Linked DNA regions of Macaca mulatta. The protein of the gene in region 1 binds, or shares a complex with, the protein of each later gene. Links are inferred from orthologs where the notes say so. Each region holds a gene or a part of one and is shown on either strand. Other genes may lie near its edges.

Region 1 (8,116 bases):
AGGCAAATGCGTGCTTGACAAAGGCGCCCAATAAATTACTTTACTGAATTGAGTATTCGAATAATGTTTATTTTTCTGCTGATAACAACAATCTACATACTCAATTTCGAACATTTGAAAAATAACAATGTAGTATAAAATTTAAAAATACACGTAATTCACCACCCAGAGACGACTACTCAACCTTATCTCGTTACAGTTTTTAAAAAAATGTGTGTAACACGCATATAAATACACAAATTCTTAACTCACAAAGAGTCCTGGTTCCCACTTGAGCCAGCAGTCCTGATGGCCTTCCCAGGAGACGCAGTAATGAAGTAGAACCTCTCTGCCCCTACAGAAGGGCTCTTAAGGGATAGAGTGGTGCAGGGAATTAAATGGGACGGGTTATCCCAGGGATAAGGCAAGCCAAAAAAAAAAAAAAAAAAAAAAAAAAATTGTACAAAATGTAATAAAAAACAGCCTGTAAATCTGTCACTGAGACCTTAGGATGGTTAATAGGAAAACTGTTATCACTGCAGATGCAGTCTGCTAGGCACTTAATATGCAATCAGTAAATGTTAAATCGTTTCCTCAGTGTAGTTTTATGGCCGTTATTACACTTTGTACTTTGTTTCCAAGAGGCCCAATGCTCACAGACCATATCAGATAACCATCCACATTCAAAATTGGACAATTTTATAAAATTTCCTATACCAAATCCCAGAAATGCAAACATTTTAATTTGTTTTATGTTGCTTTTTTGCTGAAGTAAAAGTAATTATTTCTGTAGAAATTTAAGACTGCATAAAAAAATTGGAAAAATAACATGGAAAATCCATTAACCTACCACTCAGAGTAACCACTAATATGTTCTTTCTAACTTAAAAAAAATCCCAGTACAGCAAATTTAAAGAATTAAAACTGTATAGAAGTATATAGGGTAAAAAGCGAAAAGCCCACTTCACTCCCCCTACCCTTCAGTTCTCTCAAAAACAAGTTTGCTTCCAGATCTTCTTTTATTTATTTACATACGTATATACATGCATGCTAATCTTTTACTATAAGTAGGATCATACTATGTATGTTCTTTCATTTAGTGTATTTTGGAGATCTTTCTGGGTCAAGGCAGATAGATTTTTTTTTAAATGGCTGCATTGCATTCCATTTTAAGGATAAGGTATAATTCATTCAGCCATTCCTCTAATGATGGCTATTTAGCTTTCCAATGTTCTGCCTTTACTAACAGTGCTGCAAGGAACATTCCTAAGTATTTCTGTTGACTAGATTCCTGGAAGGATTCTAGCAGTGTCAAAGGGTATGGGAATATGTATTTTGTACATAGTTGAGATTGTAAAGCAGCTGTGCTCTTGGGTCACTTATAATTATAGCATAAGTAATTTCTCATGTTATTAAATATTTTTGTAACTTTTAAAATTAAATGCATAATATTCCAGTTTTCTTAATAAAGTACTTTTCAAAGAATATATAGCTCCATAAATCTTTGTCTGAATTTCAGATCATCTCCTTAGGGCACATAACTGAAATGTATTTGCTGTCAAAAGGCGTGATACATATTATCAAATTGCTTTCAGGATATAGTGGGATTTATCAAAAAGGAAATAGTTTATATCAATTACCACTCCTCTAGTAGTGTATTATTAGTTTGTGAACTCTGCATAGCACTGATTTACTGTCACCGTTTAATTTCCATAATCTTGATGGGTGAAAAATAATGATTAGTTCTGGTTTTAACTTACTGGAAGATTGATTAAATTTGAACATTTCCCAGATTGCTCTCCTGTATCCTCCTATACCTGTATTCTCTCATACTTAATCTGTTATCAAGTCCCGCAGATTCCACTTTTTTTGGTATGTGTAGATATAGCTTTTCTCCATTTTACTCCTGTTGCCTTAGGCGATTCCTTTAACGTATATTTAAGAGACAAGTTCTAACTAATCTCCCTAGTTCCACCTCTGAGTACCACACTGTTGCCGGGGTGATCTGTCTGAAAGAGTTTTGGTGAAGTCACCCCACAAACTCCCCGGTTTAAAAGTCTTAAAAGGTGCTTAGTGTATATAGTGTGTATATACTTCTATACAGTTTTAATTCTTTAAATTTGCTGCACTGGGATTTTTTTAAGTTAGAATGAACATATTAGTGGTTACTCTGAGTGGTAGGTTTATGGATTTTCCATGTTATTTTTCCAGTTTTTTTATGCAGTCTTAACTAAGCACTGCATAAAAGTCTTTGGGATCTGATCTATGCCTTGCCAGCCTTTTCTCTTGCTTTTCCCTCTCCTATTTGTGCTTTATCATAATTTTAAAAAATCGTTTATGGATCCCTGGGCAGGTTAGTCTGTTTCATTTAACCATTTGACCTCCAACCAATAGAACTGATCAACTAGTCCCTCCTTGATACTATGCTTATACCCCACCCAGAGGGTCATGGCAAGTATAATGTATATTTGCATTTACATCTTTAATAATGATATTTGGTGCTCCTGTAGGATCATAAGCCCTTTCTGGGCTTATTGATTCTTGTATGCCAGAGCTGAGTATTGGACATGGCAACTAAAAAATATTTCTAAAATGAATGTGTGAATTCCCAATAATGTCTTTTTTTCATTTATCTCTGAAGCCCAAATATTTCCCTGATTTTATTGATTTGCATACATTTGTATATAAGGAGATTATATAAAGAACGTATATAACCTGTGTTTTGTTTGTGTTTTAATGTTTTAATTGTTGTTTAATCTTTTGATCTAGTGAAGTTTTTTATGTGTGTATATTCAGATATAGCTATCTTTTATTTGTTGACCTATCCCACTGATTTGTTGATGTTATTTTATTTATTTATTTATTTTTTGAGACTTAGTTTCGCTCTGGTGGCCCATGCTGGAGTGCAGTGGCGTGATCTCGGCTCACCTCCACCTCCTGGGTACATAAAAGTGGTTTTCCTGCCTCAGCCTCCCAAGTAGCTGGGATTACAGGCGCCTGCCACCACGCCCAGCCAATTTTTTGTATTTTTAGTAGAGACAGGGTTTCACCATGTTGGCCAGGCTGGTCTCTGACCTCTAGGTGGTACACCCGCCTGACCTCAGGTGGTACTACTGACCTCAGGTGGTACACCCGCCTCAGCCTCCCAAAGTGCTGGGATTACAGGCGTGAGCCACCACACCCGGCCGATTGCTATTAATTTTTAATGGTATCCAACATGTAATAGGCATTGAATAAATAACTTAAAAAATGAATGAGTTAAAAATTTGGTGAACTCTTTGTTTATACAGACATCTTACAGAAAAGCTGTCAGCATAGTTGAATTTTCTATTAATAGTTTGCTTTTTTATCTTACTATATCACGGGCATTTTTCCATGACAGTAGTCTTCTAATTTTTTTTTTCAGCTACACTAAAATTGCATTGAGCCAAACTTGCCACCAAGAGCCCAACAGTCACCATGATGCTGAGCACGGAAGGCAGGGAGGGGTTCGTGGTGAAGGTCAGGGGCCTACCCTGGTCCTGCTCAGCCGATGAAGTGATGCGCTTCTTCTCTGATTGCAAGATCCAAAATGGCACATCAGGTATTCGTTTCATCTACACCAGAGAAGGCAGACCAAGTGGTGAAGCATTTGTTGAACTTGAATCTGAAGAGGAAGTGAAATTGGCTTTGAAGAAGGACAGAGAAACCATGGGACACAGATACGTTGAAGTATTCAAGTCTAACAGTGTTGAAATGGATTGGGTGTTGAAGCATACAGGTCCGAATAGCCCTGATACTGCCAACGATGGCTTCGTCCGGCTTAGAGGACTCCCATTTGGCTGTAGCAAGGAAGAGATTGTTCAGTTCTTTTCAGGGTTGGAAATTGTGCCAAATGGGATGACACTGCCAGTGGACTTTCAGGGGCGAAGCACAGGGGAAGCCTTTGTGCAGTTTGCTTCGCAGGAGATAGCTGAGAAGGCCTTAAAGAAACACAAGGAAAGAATAGGGCACAGGTACATTGAGATCTTCAAGAGTAGCCGAGCTGAAGTTCGAACCCACTATGATCCCCCTCGAAAGCTCATGGCTATGCAGCGGCCAGGTCCCTATGATAGGCCGGGGGCTGGCAGAGGGTATAATAGCATTGGCAGAGGAGCTGGGTTTGAAAGGATGAGGCGTGGTGCCTACGGTGGAGGGTATGGAGGCTATGATGACTATGGTGGCTATAATGATGGATATGGCTTTGGGTCTGATAGATTTGGAAGAGACCTCAATTACTGTTTTTCAGGAATGTCTGATCATAGATATGGAGATGGTGGGTCCAGTTTCCAGAGCACCACAGGGCACTGTGTACACATGAGGGGGTTACCTTACAGAGCCACTGAGAATGATATTTATAATTTCTTCTCACCTCTTAATCCCATGAGAGTACATATTGAAATTGGACCCGATGGCAGAGTTACTGGTGAGGCAGATGTTGAATTTGCTACTCATGAAGATGCTGTGGCAGCTATGGCAAAAGACAAAGCTAATATGCAACATAGATATGTGGAGCTCTTCTTAAATTCTACTGCAGGAACAAGTGGGGGTGCTTACGATCACAGCTATGTAGAACTTTTTTTGAATTCTACAGCAGGGGCAAGTGGTGGGGCTTATGGTAGCCAAATGATGGGAGGGATGGGCTTATCCAACCAGTCTAGTTATGGAGGTCCTGCTAGCCAGCAGCTGAGTGGTGGTTATGGAGGTGGTTATGGTGGTCAGAGCAGTATGAGTGGATATGACCAAGTTCTGCAGGAAAATTCCAGTGACTATCAGTCAAACCTTGCTTAGGTAGAGAAGGAGCACCAAACAGCTACTCCATATATAAAAGCTGTACATTTGTGGGAGTTGAATAGAATGGGAGGGATGTCTAGTATATCCAGTATGATTGGTAAATGGGAAATATAATTGATTCTGATCACTCTTGGTCAGCTTCTCTTTCTTTATCTTTCTTTCTCCTTTTTTAAGAAAACAAGAGTTAAGTTTAACAGTTTTGCATTACAGGCTTGTGATTCATGCTTACTGTAAAGTGGAAGTTGAGATTATTTTAAAACTTCAAGCTCAGTAATTTTGAACACTGAAACATTCATCTAGGACATAATAACAAAGTTCAGTATTGACCATAACTGTTAAAACAATTTTTAGCTTTCCTCAAGTTAGTTATGTTGTAGGAGTGTACCTAAGCAGTAAGCGTATTTAGGTTAATGCAGTTTCACTTATGTTAAATGTTGCTCTTATACCACAAATACATTGAAAACTTCGGATGCATGTTGAGAAACATGCTTTTCTGTAAAACTCAAATATAGGAGCTGTGTCTACGATTCAAAGTGAAAACATTTGGCATGTTTGTTAATTCTAGCTTTTTGGTTTAATATCCTGTAAGGCACGTGAGTGTACACTTTTTTTTTTTTTTTTTTTTTTTTTTTGAAGGATACGGGACAATTTTAAGATGTAATACCAATACTTTAGAAGTTTGGTCGTGTTGTTTGTATGAAATTCTGAGGCTTTGGTTTAAATCTTTCCTTGTATTGTGATTTCCATTTAGATGTATTGTACTAAGTGAAACTTGTTAAATAAATCTTCCTTTTAAAAACTGGAAAAAATCTTGTGCTGATTGATTTTTATTATGTTCTGTCATATGGGCACGCTGATTGACTTTATAATTCCCTCAAAATTAAAATTTTTAATTTTAAAATTATAAACAATATATTTAGCATCTTTATATGTTCATTGTTGCATATATCATTAATTATTTCTAAGATATATCCCTAGAAATGGGATTGCTGAGTCAAAGATACACTCATTTTTAAGGCTTCTGATTTGTGTTACCAGCAAGATTCTGGTACTTTATCTTTTTACCTGGAGTGTGTGCTTTATTTTCCCCCTTATGCCCTCCTTATTGATGCACATTATTCTTTGTGATCTTTGCCAGTCTGTTAGTTGAGAAATGATATCTCATTGCAATTTTAATTTGTATTTTTTTGATTAATATTAAAGTTGAACATTTTCTTCTTTTTTAAAAAAACTTACCATGTCTACAGGACTATTGAGCTACTTTTGGAGCCACTTACCAAGATAGTATTCTCTAAAATCCAAAGAAGTGAAAGCGAATAAATAATCCTTTGTATTTCATCACAAACTAGAAGGCACCTTTGTATGTTAAAAAAGAAGTAGGCTTACAATTATGTGTCAAAAACAAAACATAAAAAAGAAGCAGGCTTATGTTAAGGAAATAAATTGTCTCCTCCATGAATTCATTAGGAGATTCTCTAAACACTCTCAGGTGTATTTTAGGGCATCTAAAGCTTATCTTAAACCAGCGTTCTCAAACTTTTCATGTGCATCAGAATCATCTGCAGGGGTTGTTTAAACATTCATTTCTAGGCCCCATCCCTAGAGTTTACAGTTCAGTAGTTTTGGGATGTTGCTTGAGAATGTGCTGATACTGCTGGTCTCAAGACCATGTTTTGAGACCCATCACAGTTCCCCAAACAACTTTAAGGAGCAGCTTCCTTTATGATCCCTGATCGCCTCCCCTTTGTTCCCATAACAAGTAGTTTAAGTTTTCTATTAAAGTCCAAACCACATGTTTACAATACCTTGCACCTCTCATGAGGATTCTGAGCACCTGTGGCATTGTGTGCTGATGTCTTAGATTTTTGTCTGGATCACAGTGGTCATTAACAATTCCACCCCTCAATGACTTTAAGACCCCAATGTCCCTCTGATCAGTACCAACTGTATCTTGAACTACAGATCTCTTTGTAGTTTCACTGACCCCTTGGGAACTGTATTGCTATACTTGGGCTGTTCAGAGCTTGGGACCCAGAGAAATGAGATGGGAGGCAAATACCAAGTTGGTATTACCTGACTCCATTTCATTCAGGAAATGAAAATCAATTCTGGAAAATCATTCAAGCTGAAGATGCAGTGGGACGTGATTGAAATTCTTTGATGACTTCTAATTTTTATCACAGCTTTCAGGAGAGCAAGAAACCCATTTTGACTCCTATCATGTTGAGCCAGTCCTTGTCCAGGAAGCCTTTCTCAGAGGGTAAACAAGTAGGTGTTTTTGCCTTCCCAGGCTACTTAGTTAATTTTCCAGAAGTTTCTCTAAGTCTGAGCAAAGATTCTCAAGTTAGCCACTAGATGGCACCAAATCCCAGGAGACAATGGAGGGCTCCTTGTGATCTTAAATGTTCACTTACTCTTCTTCGCTGGATAAGAAAATTCAGAAGGGCTCTGGGGAGCAAAGGAGAGAACCTGGAGAAGGTCAGTGGTCAGCACTAGAGGTTCCAAAGGGACAGCAGTATAGCTGGTGTGCACACGCATGCACACACACCACCACACGTGCTCCAACACTCACATCTAACACTACTACCCAGGAAAGTGCCGGGAGGTAGAGTGGGCAGCCCACCCACAACACCCCCCAAACACTGAGTCAGAGGATTTATTTTCAACTGCGTGTGTGAGCTATTTGGCAGGATCAGGCAGAAAATTTGCAGCCACAATTATCACGGCCTAAGAGTATCGGATGGCTTGTGCCAGTGGTTCTCTGGGTGTGGTGCCCAATCAGTAACAGCATGAACCTCCACCTTGTGAGATATGCAGATTATTTTTTGCCCCCCCGCCCCACCCCCTTTCCCCCAACGACTGAATCAGAAACTGGGGGTGGAGCCCAACAAGCTGTGTTTTGTTTTTTGTGTTTTTCTGAGACAGGGTCTCGCTCTGTTGCCCAGGCTGGAGTGCGGTGGTGTGATCTCGGCTCACTGCAGCCTTGAATTCCAGGCTCAAGCGATATTCCCACCTCAGCCTCTTGAGTAGCTGGGACCACAGGTGAGTACCACCAAGCCCAGTTATTTTTAAAATGATTTTTATAGAGACGGGATCTCACTATGTTGCCTAGGCTAGTCTCGAACTCCTAGGCTCAAGAGATCCTCCTGCCTCGACCTCTCAAAGTGCTGGGATTACAGGTGTGAACCTCTGTCCGGCCAATAAGCTGTGTTTTAACAAGTGCTCAGGGTGGTTCTGCTGCAGGGAACTACTGGCTGATGGATACATGGATTCCGTTATCCACCCATTCTTTGATTCCTGCATTCACTCATCCAACCCTAAAGGA
Region 2 (7,932 bases), on another chromosome or scaffold:
CGAACTGTACAGAAATTCTTGTTTTACTGGTTTGCCTTCTTTTCTTTTCTTTTCTTTTTTTTTTTTTTTTGAGACAGGATCTCACTGTGTCACCCAGGCTGGAGTGCAGTGACGGGATCTCGGCTCATCGCAATTTCCGCCTCCTGGGTTCAAGCGATTCTCCCGCCTCAGCCTCCCGAGCAGCTGGGACAACAGGCGCGCGCCACTTGGCTAATTTTTGTATTTTAATAGAGACGAGGTTTCGCCGTGTTGCCCAGGCCGGCCTCGAACTCCTGAGCTCAAGCGATCCGCTCGCCTCGGCCTCCCAAAGTGCTGGGATTAAAGGCATGCGCCACCACGCCCAGCAGGTTTGCTTTATTTTCTTTTTTTTTTTTTTTTTTTTTTTTTTTTTTTTTTTTTTTTTGAGACGGAGTCTCGCTCTGTCGCCCAGGCTGGAGGCTGGAGTGCAGTGGCGCGATCTCGGCTCACTGCAAGCTCCGCCTCCCGGGTTCACGCCATTCTCCTGCCTCAGCCTCCCGAGTAGCTGGGACTACAGGCGCCCACAACAGCGCCCGGCTAATTTTTTGTATTTTTTTTTAGTAGAGACGGGGTTTCACCGTGGTCTCGATCTCCTGACCTTGTGATCCGCCCGCCTCGGCCTCCCAAAGTGCTGGGATTACAGGCGTGAGCCACTAAAATAAATTGCTTCAGGGTGATTCGATTCCGGAACCATCGAAGGTCCTAAGATTTCAGAACATAGGAAGATATAAAGTGGGGATTCGGGAAAGCTGCCATACTTCAAAAAATATCCTTTCACTGTTTAAGATAGAGCAATTCTTTTTCCTAAACTTCAAGAATAAAATAGCTGACTATGGTCTTTCCTCACGAAGCCTGAAGCAAAATATCACTAGAGATTCCTGGCTACAATGTATCATTTGTTCAGAAAATACGTCAGCGGGCCGGGCGCGATCATCCCAGCACTTTGGGAGGCTGAGGTGGGGGAATCTCGAGCCCAGGAAGTCGAGGCTGCAGTGACCTATGCAGTGATTATCTAGGGGTGAAGAGCGAACCAATGGACATAGGGAGAAAATTAGCCAAATCTAGGGAAAGTATGACATTTGGTGTTAAGATAAAGAACTTCCCACTTTGATTGCATGCTCAGGTGAGAAGCACTGAAAAACAACCAGATCCCCTATTTGGCTACAGGAAAGTTTTGAGTTAATGGGGGATGAAAAAGAACCCTTTCCCTAGAGACTTCATCTTATAGTTCAAAATACTGTAACATTTTGTATGTGATTGTTACAGTCCCTCTTTTTTTGTGGTTTCCCTTTATTATATTCTATAACATTTCACTTTCAATCCCTGAAAAACGTTTTTAAAATTAGGTTCCTTCTAAGTAGTTCTAGTATTGTCACCACCCAAACATATATGACAAGTTTTTTGAAACAAAAAAAATCCTATCAGAATTATTTTGTATCAATTCCACCAAGATTTCAACTGATGATTGCCAACTGGTCTATAAGCTCTTTTTTTTTTTTTTTTTTTTTTTTGAGACGGAGTCTCGCTCTGTCGCCCAGGCTGGAGTGCAGTGGCCGGATCTCAGCTCACTGCAAGCTCCGCCTCCCGGGTTTACGCCATTCTCCTGCCTCAGCCTCCCGAGTAGCTGGGACTATAGGCGCCGCCACCTCGCCCGGCTAGTTTTTTGTAGTTTTAGTAGAGATGGGGTTTCACTGCGTTCGCCAGGATGGTCTCGATCTCCTGACTTCGTGATCCACCCGTCTCGGCCTCCCAAAGTGCTGGGATTACAGGCTTGAGCCACCGCGCCCCGCCGTCTATAAGCTCTTTAGGGAAATTGTTTTGTTTTTGATACGGAGTTTCACTCTTGTCACCCAGGCTGGAGTGCAGTGGCGCGATCTTGGCTCACTGCAACCTCCGCCTCCTGGGTTCAAGCGATTCTCCTGCCTCAGCCTCCCAAGTAGCTGGGATTACAGACGCCTGCCACTAAACCCGGCTTTTTGTATTTTTAGTAGAGATGGGGTTTCACCATGTTGGCGAGGCTGGTCTTGATCTCCTGACCGCAGGTGATCTGCCTGCCTCGGCCTCCCAAAGTGCTGGAATTACAGGCATGAGCACTTGACCGTTTTTTTTTTTTTTTTTAAATAGACTTAATTTTTTTAGAAGTTTTAGGTTCACAGCAAAATTGAGGAAGGTTAGACATTTCCCACACATATAGCCTCCCCCTTTATAAACATCCCTCCACCCTGCCAGAGTGGTACATTTGTTAACAATTGAACCTACGTTGATATACCATTATCACCCCAAATCCATAGTTTAGTTTACACTACAGTTCACTCTTGGCATTGTACATTCTTTGCCTTTGGACAAATGTGTGAGCAAGGAGAGAGGGATGAACAGGCAAAACACAGAGGATTTTTAGGGCACTGAAACCACTATTTTAATGGTGGATATACGTCATTAGACATTTGTCCTGCGTTCAGTTCTGTTCACTTGTAGTATCTCTAGTTTAGCAATGCCTGACATGCACTAAGATAAACTAATTACCCATCTGACCTCAGTCTGGCCCTGAAAACTAGTGTACCAGACATTCTTCCTGGCTTCCTGAATTCAAGATAAACACTTGCAGTGCTGTTTTTGCAGTACACATTAAGTGTCCTAGCCCCAAACAAATCTTAGCAGTGAGGACTGTTTCTACTTAGAAAATTACATCACCCAACTCCAGCAGATAACTTACTATGTCATCAAAGATTCTAGGATTTGTGTCTTCTGCAAGTCAAGACATTGCTCGTTTTGGGAAGGCAGAGCATGGCACTGTGGAGGAACAGTTCCAATACTACTTCAACTGACATTCATTCTCCCCATCTCCATCAAATAAGAGCAGCATACAAAGCACATCATTATGAGCAAATCCAAATTTATTTTAATGTCATGTCATTTTCAATGTGTTTAAAAACCTCATAAGTTAGTGGGAGCCCTAGTTTCCTGGGACAGCATGCCAGAGGTACTGAAATTTGTCACCTTTCTCTACAAACCCCCAGCAATCCAATCCAAGTCCATAGCTTCAGAAAGCCAGGAGTTGTATCTTCAGTCAGTCTACTCCTCTGGTTCTTGGTTTTTCTTTCAAGGGAGGGAGATCACAATATTTCAAACAGGGAACAAAACCAGTTGAGCTTCCAGCTCAGGTTTGTGTAAGATGGAGTGAGGAAAGACCCCACTGACTCCAGAGAAAAGGGTAAGGTTGAGATGGATTATTTCTTTACAGCTTTGTGAAAATGGAAGAAAAAAGATTTACAAATGAGGATCCATTTCATAGATGAGAATCTCTTCATAAATGAAGGCTCCAGCTCCTAAAATGGGAGGGGCCTGACTGGACAGCCTGAATCAGATGAGGAATCGGCCACACTGAATAAAAACAATCTGAAAAATAATCCTCCTAATTTTGAAGCCAGATAAAATACCTGGGGAGAATGGAAAAAAAGAGGAAAAGGCCCCAAACAGATGGAAAAATGCTGACATCAGAGTGGTATAAAAAATTCAGCTGAGTTTTCAGTGGTGATGGCTAATTTAGCCCTGTTCTGTAGTAGGGCACAAACCTTGACCAAGCATAGTAGTAGAAAAGGCTAGAAAGAGGGGCTTGAAGACGATGAATTTTGACTCCTGATTTTATTATTCAATTTCTTTTTTTCATTTAAAGTAGTCTTCCGTGGTTGGGAAGCCTCGCCTCCCAAGACCAGAGTCAGTTGGAGCTGGTTGTTGTTGGAAGGGAGTGGGTTGGGGAACTGGGGTGGGGGCAGGGAGACCCCCGCTCTGCTGGCGGTCCTAGATGGAGAAGAAGAACTGCACTTCACAGAGTCTGGGGTGTGTTGGGAAGGGGATGAGGCAGGAGCAGCAAGCTGGGGAGATGGGACCCACCTCAGTCCCCAGCTTCATTTTCTTCTAATGTTTCCCCACTGGTGGCATTCTCTGCAGTCTTGGAGGCCTATATGCAAGAAAAGGAGAGGGAGAAGACGTGTCAGTTTCTAACTATTTGGGGGTAGTGTCTGGGACCAGAGATAAAAGTGTTTTTTTTTTTCTGAGACAGTCTCACTCTGTCGTCCAGGCTGGAGTGCAGTGGTACAACATGGCTTGCTGTAGCCTCAACTTCCCTGGGCTCAGGTGATCCTTCCACCTCAGCCTCCCAGGTAGCTGGGACTATAGGCACATGCCACCATGTTGCCCAGGCTGATCTTGAACTCCTGGGCTCAAGTGATCCTCCTGCCTAGGCTTCCCAAACTGTTGGGATTATATGTGTGAACCACCACACCCAGCCATAAAGTTATCTCAATCCTCTGGGTCACAGATGAAATAAAGATATACAGGTCTCTGACTTATAATGGTCAACCTGTGATTTTTCAACTTTACGATGGTGTGAAAGCAATATGGATATTTCAATACATGATAATTTGTTCAATAAATGTTTTGAGCACACTGAAGGTAGGCCAGGCTAAGCTATGAGGTTCATGGTAGGTTAAGGTATATCAAATCCATTTTGAGTCAGGCATGGTGGTGGCTACTCAGCAGGTTAAGGCCAGACAATCACTTGAACCCAGGAGAAGCATGAGGCTACAGTGAGCTATGATCATGCCACTACACGTCAGCCCGGGTGACAGAGTGGGATCATCTTTTTTTGAGACGGAGTTTCACTCTTGTTGTCCAGCAGAAATGGTGCGACCTCGGCTCACTGCAACCTCTGCCTCCCAGGTTCAGGTTCAAACAATTCTCCTGCCTCAGCCTCCCAAGTAGCTGGGATTACAAGCATGTGCCACCACGCCCAGCTAATTTTGTATTTTTAGTAGATACAGGGTTTCTCTACGTTGGCCAGGCTGATCTCAAACTCCCGACCTCAGGTGATCCGTCCGCCTTGGCCTCCTAAAGTGCTGGGATTACAGGCGTGAGCCACTGTGCCTGGCCAAAACAAGGCTGGGCATGGTGGCTCATGCCTGTAATCTCAACAGTTTGGGAGGCTGAGGTGGGAGGACTGTTTAAGGCCAGGAGTTTGAGACCCTGTCTCTTAAAAAAATATATATATATCTTAAAATCCATTTTGACTTATAGTATTTTCAATTTATGATGGGTTTACTGGGACAAAGGCCTATCATATTAAGTTGAGGAGCATCTATACAAACATCCGTATCCCACTACAACCTAACACAGTGGGACAAAGAGGGATCAGGTTCACCCTGCCAGGGAAGGATGATAGTAAAACACACCTTCTTTTTTTTCTTTTTCTGGGTTTTTCGACTTGCAGAACTCTGGAGGAGGGCCTGGAAAACAGGAAGAAGGAAAAAAATTTTGAGGAATGTGGAGGAAATTAAAAACAAAGGGTTACTTTCAGTACTGTAGCTCTCTTCAGGACTTTGCTGGCATTTAGCCCTCACTTCCAGGCAGGTACCATGTACGTATTTACCACCTTCTATTCCACACTAACCTTTAGCTCTGCATCCTGGACCTCCATCTCAGACTTGTAGAGGTCAGGTTCAAAGGGACCACTGGTTATCCGCATGGGGCCATTGGGCATGAGCAGAACTGTAAATTTAAACTGGGCAACAAATTCACCTATGGCAAAAATGAAGATGTGTTTCGATAAAAAGTTCCTTTGTCATACTTAGCTCTTCTGAATTTATAGGAAGGATATCATATAATCAGGGAATCCAAAGTGAAGCTCCTTTTTAGAACTCACCCTCCTTCTCATAGAGAACATTAAATGGTTGCAGCAGTTCATGTTTGGCGCACTCCACCACACCCATCCGAGCCTTCTTCTCATCTTCAAATGCTCTGGCAGGGAAGATGATATTCAGAGGTATCCTTAACTCCCCGTCAAGTCTTACCATTTTGCTCATATTTTAAAATAGCTCCTACCCTCAGGCAGAAATCATGCTTAGGATTGCTCTTTTACATTACCTTCAGTGAGAAGGAGATGGGGAGAGAGAGGGAGGGAGTGAGCACGTGCACGCTACAAGTCTAGGCAGGAAGGGAGAGGAAAAAGTGTTCCTGGGTGTATGGTCTGTGAGTCAGACTGGTTCCATGTACTATCATTGCTAAGTGTAGTACCTTAAAGTAAACGGCATAGCATCAAAACGCCTTTCCACCTCACTGAAGAAGGCACGTGAAGTTTTCATTTTCAGTCCATACTGTTTAGAGGGGTCTCGTTTGTAAATAGTGGTTCTCTGTCCTGCATCCTTGGCCTGAAAGGGTAATTTAAGTAACATTTGGTCTGGTGAACACTCTCAGTCACCCCTCTTAGCCAACTCTGGTACTCTCCTCACCTTGCCCTCTCCTGAGCTGACGAGAACATCCACAGCATATACTTCATGTACCTCAAATTCAGCTTTTTCATGGTCCTTCCTAAAAGGAATAGAGAGAAAGGGAACTTTTTTTTTTTTTGACACACAGTCTCATTCTGTCACCCAGGCTGGAGTGCAGTGGCACAATCTCAGCTCACTGCAACCTCCGCCTCCCAGGTTCAAGCAACTCTCCTGCCTCAGCCTCCCAAGTAGCTGGGACGACAGGAACACACCACCACGCCTGGCTCATTTTTGTATTTTTTAGTAGAGACAGGGTTTCGCCATATTGGTCAGGGTGGTTCCGAACTCGTGACCTCAGGTGATCCACCTGCCTCAGCCTCCCAAAGTGCCGGGATTACAGGCATGAGCCACCATGCCCGGCCTAGAGAAAGGAAATATTAAGAGCAACAGGTCACTCCTGAAAGCATGGAGTAAAGGGTAGACAAGATTCAGTTGGGAGTATAGAAAAAAACCTGATGACTAGTCTGGTATGGTAGAAGGTGATGAATAGGGTTGGCACCTACTTCTGCTGGTCTGTGGGATTCTGGATAATGGTTTTTTCTCCATCGATGACATGCTGCTTCAACTGGTGTGACAGCATACCTGTAGACAGGACACAACCTATGGAACGAGCTATCCAGTATCCCAAAAGATTTCCAAATCTACCTACTTCAGTAGTTTGAAGGGGTAGGCAGTGAGAAAACTACCTGGTTATGGAAACACAGGGCCCTGAGATTTCTGGCTTAGACTGGGTTATAGCTGGATAGATCTTCAAGGGGGCAAAAGCCTCAATTCTGCAAAGCGACTCATTCTTTTTTTTTTTTTTTTCTGAGATGGAGTTTCGCTCTTATTGCCCAGACTGGAGTGCAATGGCGCGATCTCAGCTCACTGCAACCTCCGCCTCCCGGGTTCAAGTCTCACCACAACCTCCCAAGTAGCTGGGATTACAGGCGCCCGCCACCACGCCCAGCTAATTTTTGTACTTTTAGTAGAGACGGGGTTTCACCATGTTGGTCAGGCTGGTCTTAAACTCCTGACTTCAGGTGATCCACCTGCCTTGGCCTTCCAAAGTGCTGGGATTACAGGAGTGAGCCACCGCGCCCGGCAAAGCCACTCATTCTTAGACCCTCAACCCTGTTATCTGTTCTCACCTTCTATTGGCGTGCAGTTAAATGAGTGGGCAACTTTGTTCCAGGCTTCTGTCACTTGTGTGTTCTAGAAGTACAACATCAAACAAAAGGTGAGATATCAGGAGCTAATAAGTTCTCTACAATGAGAATAAGAAGCATAAAAGAACTGAACTGAGCATTCTTTTTTTTTTTTTTGAGATGGAGTCTAGCTTTGTCGCCAGGCTGGAGTGCAGTGGCGTGATCTCGGTTCACTGCAACCTCTGCCTCCTGGGTTCAAGCTCTTCTCCTGCCTCAGCCTCCTGAGTAGCTGGGATTACAGACATGCACCACCACGCCCAGCTAATTTTTGTATTTTTAGCGGAGACGGGGTTTCACCATGTTGGCCAGGATGGTCTCAATCTCCTGACCTCGTGATCCGCCCACCTCAGCCTCCCAAAGTGGTGGGATTACAGGCATGAGCCACCGCACCTGACAGAACTGAG

The links. The genes of interacting proteins can lie anywhere in the genome.
Region 2: HNRNPH2 (region 1) and PA2G4 share a complex: the UniProt entries of both Homo sapiens proteins name them as parts of the ribonucleoprotein complex. The link is inferred for Macaca mulatta from reciprocal best matches to the Homo sapiens genes HNRNPH2 and PA2G4.

Annotation. Positions count from the first base shown.
Region 1 is NC_133426.1:108,299,867-108,307,982, forward strand, and holds the end of HNRNPH2 (heterogeneous nuclear ribonucleoprotein H2), read left to right. Parts: intron 1-3,364; exon of another isoform or gene 3,365-3,385; 5' UTR 3,386-3,438; coding exon 3,439-4,788; 3' UTR 4,789-5,605; downstream 5,606-8,116. UniProt on the Homo sapiens protein: This protein is a component of the heterogeneous nuclear ribonucleoprotein (hnRNP) complexes which provide the substrate for the processing events that pre-mRNAs undergo before becoming functional, translatable mRNAs in the cytoplasm. Binds poly(RG).
Region 2 is NC_133416.1:63,258,962-63,266,893, reverse strand, and holds the end of PA2G4 (proliferation-associated protein 2G4), read right to left. Parts: intron 7,536-7,932; coding exon 7,472-7,535; intron 6,924-7,471; coding exon 6,845-6,923; intron 6,382-6,844; coding exon 6,303-6,381; intron 6,222-6,302; coding exon 6,088-6,221; intron 5,812-6,087; coding exon 5,717-5,811; intron 5,593-5,716; coding exon 5,465-5,592; intron 5,301-5,464; coding exon 5,247-5,300; intron 3,977-5,246; coding exon 3,911-3,976; 3' UTR 3,910-3,910; intron 3,817-3,909; 3' UTR 2,895-3,816; downstream 1-2,894. UniProt on the Homo sapiens protein: May play a role in a ERBB3-regulated signal transduction pathway. Seems be involved in growth regulation. Acts a corepressor of the androgen receptor (AR) and is regulated by the ERBB3 ligand neuregulin-1/heregulin (HRG).